2 linked regions of the Oryzias latipes genome follow. The protein of the gene in region 1 purifies or fractionates together with the protein of each later gene. This does not show direct contact. Links are inferred from orthologs where the notes say so. Each region holds a gene or a part of one and is shown on either strand. Other genes may lie near its edges.

The links. The genes of interacting proteins can lie anywhere in the genome.
Region 2: the proteins of apolipoprotein B-100 (region 1) and vcp purify together in Homo sapiens (affinity purification with western blotting, with the first as the bait; 3 studies listed by BioGRID). This does not show direct contact. The link is inferred for Oryzias latipes from reciprocal best matches to the Homo sapiens genes APOB and VCP.

What each region holds. Positions count from the first base shown.
Region 1 is NC_019880.2:24,953,484-24,959,700, forward strand, and holds part of apolipoprotein B-100, read right to left. Parts: intron 3,150-6,217; coding exon 3,028-3,149; intron 2,917-3,027; coding exon 2,543-2,916; intron 2,380-2,542; coding exon 1-2,379. UniProt on the Homo sapiens protein: Apolipoprotein B is a major protein constituent of chylomicrons (apo B-48), LDL (apo B-100) and VLDL (apo B-100). Apo B-100 functions as a recognition signal for the cellular binding and internalization of LDL particles by the apoB/E receptor.
Region 2 is NC_019867.2:13,579,123-13,584,436, reverse strand, and holds part of vcp (transitional endoplasmic reticulum ATPase), read right to left. Parts: intron 4,670-5,314; coding exon 4,558-4,669; intron 4,468-4,557; coding exon 4,295-4,467; intron 4,220-4,294; coding exon 4,077-4,219; intron 3,991-4,076; coding exon 3,860-3,990; intron 3,777-3,859; coding exon 3,645-3,776; intron 3,495-3,644; coding exon 3,392-3,494; intron 3,244-3,391; coding exon 3,110-3,243; intron 2,918-3,109; coding exon 2,782-2,917; intron 1,722-2,781; coding exon 1,609-1,721; intron 1,407-1,608; coding exon 1,242-1,406; intron 1,139-1,241; coding exon 1,016-1,138; intron 934-1,015; coding exon 721-933; intron 622-720; coding exon 313-621; intron 123-312; coding exon 1-122. UniProt on the Homo sapiens protein: Necessary for the fragmentation of Golgi stacks during mitosis and for their reassembly after mitosis. Involved in the formation of the transitional endoplasmic reticulum (tER).

The DNA.
Region 1 (6,217 bases):
TTTTGTACCTGTCATCAAATGCTTCGAGTTGGTCTTTAGTATATGAAAGCACGTTTGATAGCTTTTCAGTTAGCTCCTCTGACTTGGCGTACTCCTCAATTGTAGAAATTAGATTTTGGACTTTAGTTGCAATGTCTATTATTGTGTTTTCAGTGTTCTGTTTCAAATTATTCATCCAAAGCTCCATGTCAGCCATTGTTATAGAAAAATCCTTTATCCAATAATCCAGTTTCTCCTTCACTTTATTCACTTTGTTCTCCAAGTCCATTGCCTGCAAGAAGCTTTTAACCTTTTTTGGTAATTGGTCTAAACTGGCTCTGTAGTCGGTGATTAACTTATTAACATCCAAATCTCTTATCATTTTTTGGAGGGATTCTAGGCCTTGTAAAATGGTGTTCTTGAGCCTCTCAAAAGCAACAGCAAAGTTTTGGGTGAATGGAATTTCAATGATATGACAGTCACTGTTCTTGTCGTACTTTAAAAATCCAGCCAAACTGAATTTTTCTCTTTCTCTTTTTGATTTCTTATGTTTGCTGATAATATCTGTTAGAATTACTTCTGAAAATTCTATTCCAAACTTTTCAGGATTGTTGTAGGCACTGATGCTCTGCTCAAAGACGTGGTTGTCCAGGTTGGAGATAACTTTCCAATCCATGGATTGGTCATTTGGAGACAGGAGACCTTCCAGTTTGCTAACTAAACTAGAGGAAGATTCGCCACGTGATAGACGGTGCATTGTTGATCCCTGGAAATCATGTGACATTGCAAGAACAAGTGGTGCAATTTTAACAAGCAGCTTGCTGGATGTCCTCCCATTGTGCTTCCCATGTAGATGTATTTCTCCTTCACCGTTGGCAAGAGCATCAATAGTCAGACTGAAGGGCAGGGCCATAGTGCGAATGGAAACATCAAAATGCAGAGGTTCAGAATTTAACCGGGCCTGACAGTTTGATATTGAAGCAAGTCCAGCAAATTCTGTCTCACAGAAGTGACTTAATTGGGTGTTCATCATGGTTCCAGATGTACTGTATTTCACAGAACCAGACAGATCATCATAGGTGAATGCATAAATGTGTTTTAGGTTGTTTTCTTCCCCATAGCCTCCCTTTACACTTCCACTGAGATCCAGCCTTAGTGGCTCAAGCTTCATATGGCCTTCATTGTACAAACTAAGGTCATAAAAAACAAGGTCATTGTTCATGTCAATCAATATAACAAACGGCTTTATATCAACTTTAGTATCTTCTTTATAGTAAATGTCGTCACAGATTGTGCTGTCCGATTTGGAACGAAGGGAGAGTTTCCACAGGCTAAGGGCCAGTGTGTGGCTGTGTTCTGTTCTCATTTGCCTCAAAGTTCCCTTGGCATTTCCAGTGAAGGTCAGAGTTCCTTTTCTCAGTTCAATTTTTATGTTGTTTGTTGTAGCTGCATCATAAGCATAGCCCTTGAGGTCACCATGGATAGTAGCCTCTGAAGCTGTGATTTTACCCTCAATGTTCACCTCTCCCCTGCCCTCTTCCGCCATGGCTTTAGTTGTGGATGACAGTGATGCTCCACTGTTGTCTAAAACACCATCAAAGACATTCTCCACTGTAACAGGACTGCACTGAATGCTATTCGTTCCTCCAAAGGTAAGGCCATCTCTTCCAATCTTCACAGATGCCTTATGGAATGCTCGGCCTGCATCAAAGATCAGGGAACCCTCTGATATCACTTCAAGTCCCTTTGAATCCAGGGATCCAGAAATGAGTGAATATATCCTACTTGAGTCATCATCTCCTTGTGATTCAATTCTGAGCATGGACATTTGTCTTGATATGCCAAGCTCAACTTGGTTGCTTAATGATTTACCCATGGCTGTGCCAACAGCGTTGCACTTTAGGATGAGTTGTGCATCTTTGTACTTTAGCTCTGCCACATGTTTGAAAGTGTCCCTCGCTGCGCTGGTTCTTGACACAAGGTTCAACTCAGCCTTAGCATAGACTCCTTGAATTGTGTTTTGAAATCCAATAAATGGTGAGTTAAAGCGAAACATTGACTCTCCTTGTCCCTCTCGGGCCAGTGGATGTATTTTGTAGTTGTGAGTGAAGGAGGTGTTGGTGTAGAGCGACCCAAGTTTAAGATGTCCCTCCACAGTACCATCTCCTGATACTTCATCTGAATTTAGAGTGGAAGTTGAATATGCGGAATAGGACAGAGAGGCGTTCAGGCCTAACGGACTAGAGGCCTTGATCCTGTAATCTGCATCCGCATTGAATTTGTTACCTACTCTGAAGGTTTCCACAGCACTGAAGCTCGAGTCAAAAAGGATGTGGCTAAAAGAAGTACTGAGCAGATATTTGAGGTTTTCATCAGCTCTCCCCAATAACATTCCAATTCCTTAAAGCAAATAGGGAAAAAGACACAATTAAAAAAAAGGCACAAATATCATAGATGTAGCTCTGTAGTTTCTGACTTCTCTTTTCCTATAACAGTTTTTGTTCCTAATCTCTCCTTTTCAGACCATTAAATTTGCTAAAACAATAGTAAACAAGATGTTTACCTTCAAGTTTGTAGGACAGCAGACTCAGTGGGGACTGAGCTATGGACTTGTACTTAACAACATAGCTGGGAATATCAACAGTTTTGTTGCCCATGGAGATCGAGCCATCCCAGTCATAAAGGTTGCTGTGGATCTTGATTGATACTTCGCCCAGACCGAAAAGAGGAGCGTTAAAATCCAATGAAGGTGGAATGGTGAATGTTGGAAGAAAATATGTTTTGGCTGGGATGTACAAGCCTATCGGCTTTAAATCTATAGCTGGCACAGACACAGACTTTGGAAGGTTCAAGACTTCTGACTTTTTGCCGCCAAACGGGAGATGAAAGGAGATGAACTTTGTGTCCTTGTTGAACTGATATCGGAACAGACTGTCACTGTTGACATAAAATACAATACATCATTAAAATTAAAAGTCATTAAATACAGTGAGCCTAGTAGCATTTCAGGCTAAATGAAGTTGCTTAAAAATACTTGAAAACACTTACACTTCCCAAAACAGTTTTTCAGGCAGAGCAGGCAAAGTAAGATCAGAGATGCTCCTCTTACTTCGAAGGCTTGCAAGTGACGGGAAGCGTGCTGTCAGTTTATCGAGCCAAATGTTACCTGCCTTTAGAGTGGCAGTAAAATAAATTCTAGTTAAAAAAAACAGTTTGAACTTTTCTTAAGCTGCATAGAACAGACATTGGAATAAGGCTGGGCAATAAAAGAGCTCACTGTTAATATGACACAGAGATAAGAAGATTATGGTGATGAAACTAGGGATAAGCAATATATCGGTGGTAGTATCGGTATCGACTGATCTTTGCATAATTTCAGTTTATCGGTATCGTTCCAATATAAAAAACATCTACCGATATTGTTCTGACTGTTTTCAGATTCACTTTATTTTTAAATGTATATTTGTTCCTAATAGATCCCTGCCACTGGGAAGCTTATGTTGGCAGTTACAGTCAGCAATGGAATGTTTACGGGAATATTTTATTCTTGATAGGTATACATGTTCTTCCTAATAGATCCCTGGCAATGAGGAGCTTATGGTTTACAGTTTTGTCTTCTTCTTTCTCTTTCGGCTTTTCCCATCAGGGGTCGCCACAGCGAATCATCCTTTTCCACCTCACTCTATCATGAACATCTTCTACCCTAACGTTAGCCAACTTCATGTCCTCTGTTAAGACATCCATATATCTCCTCTTTGGCCGTCCTCTTGCCCTCCGGCCAGGCAGCTCCATCTCCAACATCCTTCTACCAATATATCCACTATCCCTCCTCTGAACATGTCCAAACCATCTCAGTCTGGCTTCTCTGACTTTGTCGCTAACACAGGCAACATGAGCCATCCCTCTGATGTACTCGTTCCTTATCCTGTCTAACCTGGTCACTCCTAAGGAGAACCTCAACATCTTCATCTCTGCTACCTCCATCTCAGCCTCTTGTCTCTGTCTCACTGCTACCGTCTCTAACCCATAGAGCAGAGCTGGTCTCACCACTGTCTTGTACACCTTTCCTTTGAGTCTTGCTGGCACTCTTCTGTCACACAACACTCCTGACACTTTCCTCCAACCGCTCCAACCTGCCTGCACTCGCCTCTTCACCTCTTTTCCACAATCCCCATCACACTGAACTGTTGACCCCAAGTACTTAAACTCCTGCACCTTCTTTACCTCAGCCCCCTGTAACCTAACGCTTCTACCTTGATCCCTCTCGTTCAGACACATGTATTCTGTCTTACTACGACTGACCTTCATACCTCTTCTTTCCAGAGCAAACCTCCACCTCTCTAGCTGTTCCTCCACCTGCTCTCTACTCTCACTGCAAATTACAATGTCATCCGCAAACATCATTGTCCAGGGAGATTCCTGTCTTACCTCGTCTGTCAGCCTGTCCATCAGCATAGCAAACAAAAAAGGACTCAAAGCTGATCCTTGGTGTAGTCCCACCTCCACCTTGAACTCCTCTGTCTGACCTACAGCACATCTCACCACCGTCATACTTCTCTCATACATGTCCTGAACTACTCTGACATACTTCTCTGCCACTCCAGACGACCTCATACAGTACCACAGCTCCTCCCTCGGCACCCTGTCATACGCCTTCTCTAAATCTACGAACACACAATGCAGCTCCTTCTGACCTTCTCTGTACTTTTCCATCAACATTCTCAAAGCAAAAATGGCATCAGTGGTGCTCTTACGGGGCATGAAACCATACTGCTGCTCACAAATCTCCACCTTCTTCCTAAGCCTGGCTTCCACTACTCTTTCCCACAGCTTCATTGTGTGGCTCATCAACTTTATTCCTCTATAGTTGCTGCAGTTCTGCATGTCACCCTTGTTTTTAAAGATCGGGACCAGAACGCTTCTCCTCCATTCCTCAGGCATCTTCTCACTCTCTAAAATCCTATTGAACAACCTTGTTAGAAATTCCACTGCTGTCTCTCCTAGGCACTTCCATACCTCCACAGGTACGTCATCAGGACCAACGACCTTTCCGCTCTTCATCCTTTTCAGAGCCTTCCTAACCTCATCCTTTCCAATCTCTGCTACTTCCTGCTCCACAACAACCACATCTTCCTCCCTTCTTTCCCTGTCATTTTCCTCGTTCATCAGCTCCTCAAAATACTCCTTCCATCTTTTCTGTACACTCTCTTGGGTTGTTAGCACCTTTCCATCTCTGTCCTTAATCACCCTTATCTGTTGCACGTCCTTCCCATCTCTGTCTCTCTGTCTGGCTAGCCTGTACAAGTCCTTCTCTCCTTCCTTTGTGTCTAACCTGTCATAAAGCTCATCGTAAGCTTTCTGTTTGGCCTTTGCCACCTCTCTCTTCACTCTACGCTGCGCTTCCTTGTACTCCTGTCTACCTTCCTCAGTCCTTTCTACATCCCACTTCCTTTTAGCCAACCTCTTCCTCTGGACGCATTCCTGTACTTCCTCATTCCACCACCAAGTCTCTTTACCGTCTTTCCTCTTTCCAGATGACACACCTAGCACCTTCCTACCTGTTTCCCTGATAATCTCTGCTGTAGTTTCCCAGTCCTCTGGAAGCTCATCCTGACCACCCAGGACCTGCCTCAACTTCTGCCTAAATTCCTCACAAGTTTCTTCATTCTGTAGCTTCCACCACTTGGTCTTCTTTTCTGTTTTCCCTATCTTCTTCTTCCTGACCTCCAGAGTCATCTTACACACCACCATGCGGTGCTGTCTGGCTACACTCTCTCCTACCACCACTTTGCAGTCATTAACCTCTCTCAAATGACCTCGTCTACATAGGATGTAGTCCACCTGAGTACTCCTACCTCCACTTCTGTATGTCACTCTATGTTCCTCCTTATGGTTTACAGTTATGTCAAATTGTCTAAATGTTTTCAGATATATTTTCAACGCTTTAAAGTGATACTTGTTCCTTTGAGATCCCTTGCTGTATGTTAAAAAAGTCAAGCACAATGTGACTGAATAGCAAAAGTGAAGTTGTGCATTTCTACTAAGACACACAAAGGAAATGTAAACGTTGTGTTACTCCAGACATGCAAATAACGGTATCGGCAAATATCTGCTATTGGCCAAAGTTGCAGCGGAAATATCGGTTATTGGTATGCCCTGAAAAATTGTAAATGTTGTGATATTTACTTGATTTTTTTTGTGCATACACAACAATGAGAATGATTCAGCTCAATAAAAC
Region 2 (5,314 bases), on another chromosome or scaffold:
CTGCGGATCTCACTCTCAATGCTCTCTCTGATGGCCAGTTTGCACGCCCGCTGGCAGATCTCGGTAAGATCTGCTCCAGAGAAGCCGTTGGTCATCTTAGCCAGGAAGTCCAAGTCCACATCCTAAATTTTGTAAAACTATTAGTTTATTTTTTCCAAGTGGAGAGAACATTTGTGCAATAATACCAAAGTTGCTTTTACATTGGATTTGAAAACAAATGCCACAGTTGGTGGACCTTCAGAAAAATCTACACAACTTTTGTTACACAGATAAAGCTTCATACATCCTGGTGGTGGGAGGAACAACTGTCACCTTGCTGATGGGACTCTTGCGGAGGTTGGCCTTCAGGATGCTGATCCTGCTCTTCTCATCGGGCAAGGGGATGTAGATGAGCTGATCGAGGCGGCCGGGTCTCAGAATGGCAGGGTCAATGATGTCTGGTCTGTTTGTGGCTCCGATGATGAAGACATTCTTCTTGCTCGACATTCCATCCATTTCCGTCAGGATCTGGTTGATCACGCGGTCAGCTGCTCCACCGCCATCACCAACGTTGCCGCCACGAGCCTTAGCTATGGAGTCAAGCTCGTCAAAGAAGAGAACACATGGAGCAGCCTGACGAGCCTGGAGACAAGACAAAAACCAAACAGGTTTATTTCGTTTTACAACTTTATGTATGAATTCTTTAAAAAAAAAAAAAAAGGGGGGGGGGGGGTCGCTTACCTTGTCAAATATCTCCCTGACGTTGGCCTCAGACTCTCCAAACCACATGGTGAGCAGCTCAGGTCCTTTGATGGAGATGAAGTTTGCCTGGCATTCGTTGGCAATTGCTTTGGCCAGCAGAGTCTTACCACAACCAGGGGGACCATAGAAAAGTACACCTTTGGAAGGGGTCATGCCAAACTTCAGGAACTTGTCTGGATGCTCCACTGGGTACTGAATTAAGGGAAGGAGGATGCACATTTACCACAGTCCCAGACATTTCAATCCCGGCACTTTCATATGATGTTACACATACCTGGACCAACTCCTGCAGCTCTCTCTTAACATCTTCCAGACCTCCAATATCATCCCAGGTGATGTTGGGAACTTCAACAATCGTCTCCCTCAGTGCTGATGGGTTACTCTGGCTCAGAGCCCACTGCAAGACAGCACTGATCGGGTTAGCATTGATCCAGCCCAGTGCTAGCTGTGTGTACTAATGGACTACTATATGATTTCAAACGATTCCATTACAGGTTTACCTTGAAGTCATCCATGGTAACAGCAAGTGAGTTCATGACTTCAGCATCGATGGTCTCGTCCTCAAGGTCGATCAGGTCCATCTTCTTTCTAATGGCCTGGAGAGCAGCCTCAGAGCAGAGAGCAGCCAGATCTGCACCTACATGACCATGGGTCTCATTGGCAACCTGCAAAAGACAATCAAATTCACTGTAGAAACCAAAGTTACACCACTATGTAAAAAAAACCTGCGATAATGATTAATTACATTTTAACTTAAAATATTCACAAACTAATAGAAAAAAGAAATTTATCATTTATCAAGAAAAAGGCATCTACTTGAACATGTTGTATTTTGGACAAAAATAAAGGACTTTTGAAGGCACAAACCTGTTCCAAGTCCACATCATCAGCCAGTTTCATGTTCTTGGTGTGAATCTGCAGAATCTCCAATCTGCCGGTTGCATCAGGGATGCCAATATCCACTTCTCTGTCAAAACGGCCTACAATGGAAAGGTGTGAAAATAAAATTGGATCAATGAAAATGAAGAAGTTTACCATCTATCTAAAAACCTAAAATTTATAAGATCATCAACTTAAAAACTTCTAACTTAATTCATTAAATTTGTTGAATTTCTTTACCAGGCAAAACATTGACCTCCATTTTAAAAATTGGAATTCTCTTTTTTTTCTTTAAATCAGAATATGAAAAGTTATTTAATTGAAAATTTATAAATTTGAATTGAATCAAAATATATTTATTTGAATTGAAATAGACTTTTTCATCCTTACTGGGATGACAATAGTTTCTAAAGTGCCAGCAAGAAATTTTGTTTCAACATGTTAGCAGCTTAACTTGCAATGCATTTTCAAACAAAATGAACAAGCCACAGGATTTCTTAAGAAAACCTGGTTTGGAAAAACAATTTGTTTCATTAACAAGAAAAAGTTTCTTATTAAAATGAAACTTAAAAAAACCCAAACATTTAGGAATAGAGTGCAACTTAAATTCTATGGTTGAAAGTAGGTCTGATGTTCAAAAGTCTTAACTGCACAGGATCATTTTAAGTCAACATTAGGGCTGCACGATATGAAGAAAACTCGCGATATGCGATATCAGTGATTAATATTGCGATAACGATATAATTTGCGGTATATAAACAATTAGCAAAACAACCAAAAATATTATTCCCATTCCATTACAACAGCTTAAAAATTATACTACAAATGACCCTTGTTGACATAGGAGGCGAACATACAACATAATAGGGCGCAATCCGATTAGTTAACAACGTGAAGGGGTCCACCTGATTGCTCAAATGCAGAAAGGGATACTTTCAATCCATTAAACACTTCAAGTTGCCATAAGATTGTTTGGCCACATCTAAGGTAACCATTTATTGCAAATTTGCTGTCTTTTGCGATATGCATATTGCACAGCTTGATATTGCGATAACAATAAATTTGCGGTATATTGTGCAGGCCTAGTCGACATTCAAATAATAAAAGGCTGCGGGGTGAAATCTAAAACGAGCGACCTAAGGGCTTCTAAAGACTGTTTACCAAATCTCCTGAGAGCCGGATCGATGCTGTTGGGTCTGTTGGTGGCAGCCATGACAATCACATGAGCTCTCTGTTTCAGACCATCCATAAGAGTCAGCAGCTGTGACACAATGCGCCTCTCCACCTCCCCATGAGTCTGAAAAAGCAGAGTGCCATTAGTAAAATGTGTCTATATTTTTTTTGTCTCAGCTAATCTAAAGCACATAGCCAATACAGTCACTAGTACATGAATTTAAAAGAGAAGATACACAAAGAATTGCTGTGCTTTCAAGGGCCTGAACCTAAAACTCATAGTGCACCGACAAAGTTACCACCCTACATTACTCACCTTCTCTCTCTTTGGAGCGATTGCATCAAGTTCATCAATAAAAATGATGGCAGGAGCATTTTTCTCAGCTTCTTCAAAGGCCTTTCTCAGGTTACTCTCACTCTCTCCAGCCAACTTACTCATGATCTCCGGGCCTGAAATAGAGAGAACGATACTTTAACAAGAAAATATCATTGAACACAACGATTCAGATAAATACAAGCATAGCCAATCAGAACACTGACTTTCAGCATCATCTCACCCATACTAGAAAACTTTACATCCAAACGGATATATTCATACCATTAATAAGAAAGAAGAACGCTCCAGTTTCATTGGCCACAGCCCTGGCGATTAAAGTTTTTCCAGTTCCAGGGGGTCCATAAAGCAGGATTCCACGAGGGGGCTTATTTAAAACGAAAACAAAAAATGTGGGGTGAGAGCTTTATTTAAAAAAAATTTTTTTTTAATTTTAAGTGTACAATCCCATTTATCACACACAAAACCACTTGTGTGATTCAGTACCATATTTTCCCTTCAGGTTAGCGTTCCTCACCTTGACTCCTATGGCCTTAAACAGTGCCGGGTGTCTGAGAGGCAGCTCCACCATCTCTTTGATCTGGGCCAACTGCTTCCTTACTCCTCCAATATCATCATAGCCCACTTCGTTCAGAGACTCTTCCTCATCCTAAATGTTTAAATATACAATGTTTAAGTTTTCCTTTATTTGGATTTCTTTCCCTCCCGCCAGGGCCAACATCTGAAACTCACCTCCCTCCGGATTGGCTCACCCTCACAATGAATGACTGTGTCAGGAGCAACGATACAGTAGGGGGAAGGATCTGTCTCAACCACCTTAAACTCCACTGCACGCATGCCTCCTCTGACCAGAAAGATGTCACCTTAAGAGAAATAATGGTTACATTGTGTTTTACAGTAAAATAGACTGGCATCGGTCTTTAACTTAACAATGGATCTCAGCAATCACCTTTGCGGATTGGCCTGTAAGCCTCCAAGAAGTATGGCTTCAGGTAAACCTCAAACAGGTTCCCAGTAATTCCCTCTACTGTGTCATCTATTGGAAGGACGTGAATCCTTTTCCCATATTTGACATCAGGACATGGCTGAATGCTGAGGGTGACATTAAAAACCATGTTACACATGGTACTGGGTGGAGATTAAAATACAAAAAAGCAGGCTTCTCACCTGATGACATCACCGAGACGGACTCTCAGATTGTTGCGCACCACCCTGTTCATGCGAACCTTTTCATCTGAACAGGTGTCATCGGAGAGTACGATGCACACAGTCTCTCGTCTCTTCTTTCCCTTCATCAGCACTGTGTCTCCACGGAAGAGCTGCAGCTCATCCATTTTGGCCTTGATTGAAAAGTAATGTTATTAATAATCTTTACACTTGAGAGAATTTGATTTTGTTGCTCTAGCTCAGAATAAACCTTTTTTTTTTACCTGAGACAGAGAGACTACACTGTTGTCCTCATTGATAGACTCATCAACAATCAGTCTGTTGGGCCTGCTCTTTTGTTTCAGGATTGCTGTTGATAAATCATCATTTTTGGAGCTGTGTTGACAAAGAAAAACCGTGTTAATATACAAATACATTTTTAAGTTGTCAAAAATCTCAACATAGAAAAATAAAAAGGGGCGATGTGAAGAATATCTAAAAGACCTAAAAATTATAAACTTCTAACATGTTTTCTAATTTTTTTTGTTTGATTCACAGACCTTAAAGAAATGACATTTAAAGTACAATCATTTTAATCAACCACAACCTTTGATAAATCTGTCAATAAAGCAGCTAACTTTGCTCTATCGTTACATATTAATCAATAAAACTGAGGCTTGAAACCAAATGCTACTGAGCTTGTCAAAAACACAGATTGATTCCATCCTAAAAATAAGGTATTACAGTTATGTGTGTACAGTACAAAACAGCTAGTTAGGCAATACAATAAAAGAATACAGTTATAAAAGTTTCTTAATTTAGGTGAATAGGTTTTGAGTATTTAAAGCTGAATATTATTCAAAAGAAATTCTGATACCTATTTCTTAAATAAACTTGTATTTAATGTTGATTTTGGTTGATATCAACAAAGTTCTATAGATCAAGTATTTATAAGAGTTTTTTTTAACTAGTTATTTTTCTTTTTAAAGAAAAATAAATATTGCCAAGATTTTTTTTTTTTTTTTTTTTAGCTTGAGTACC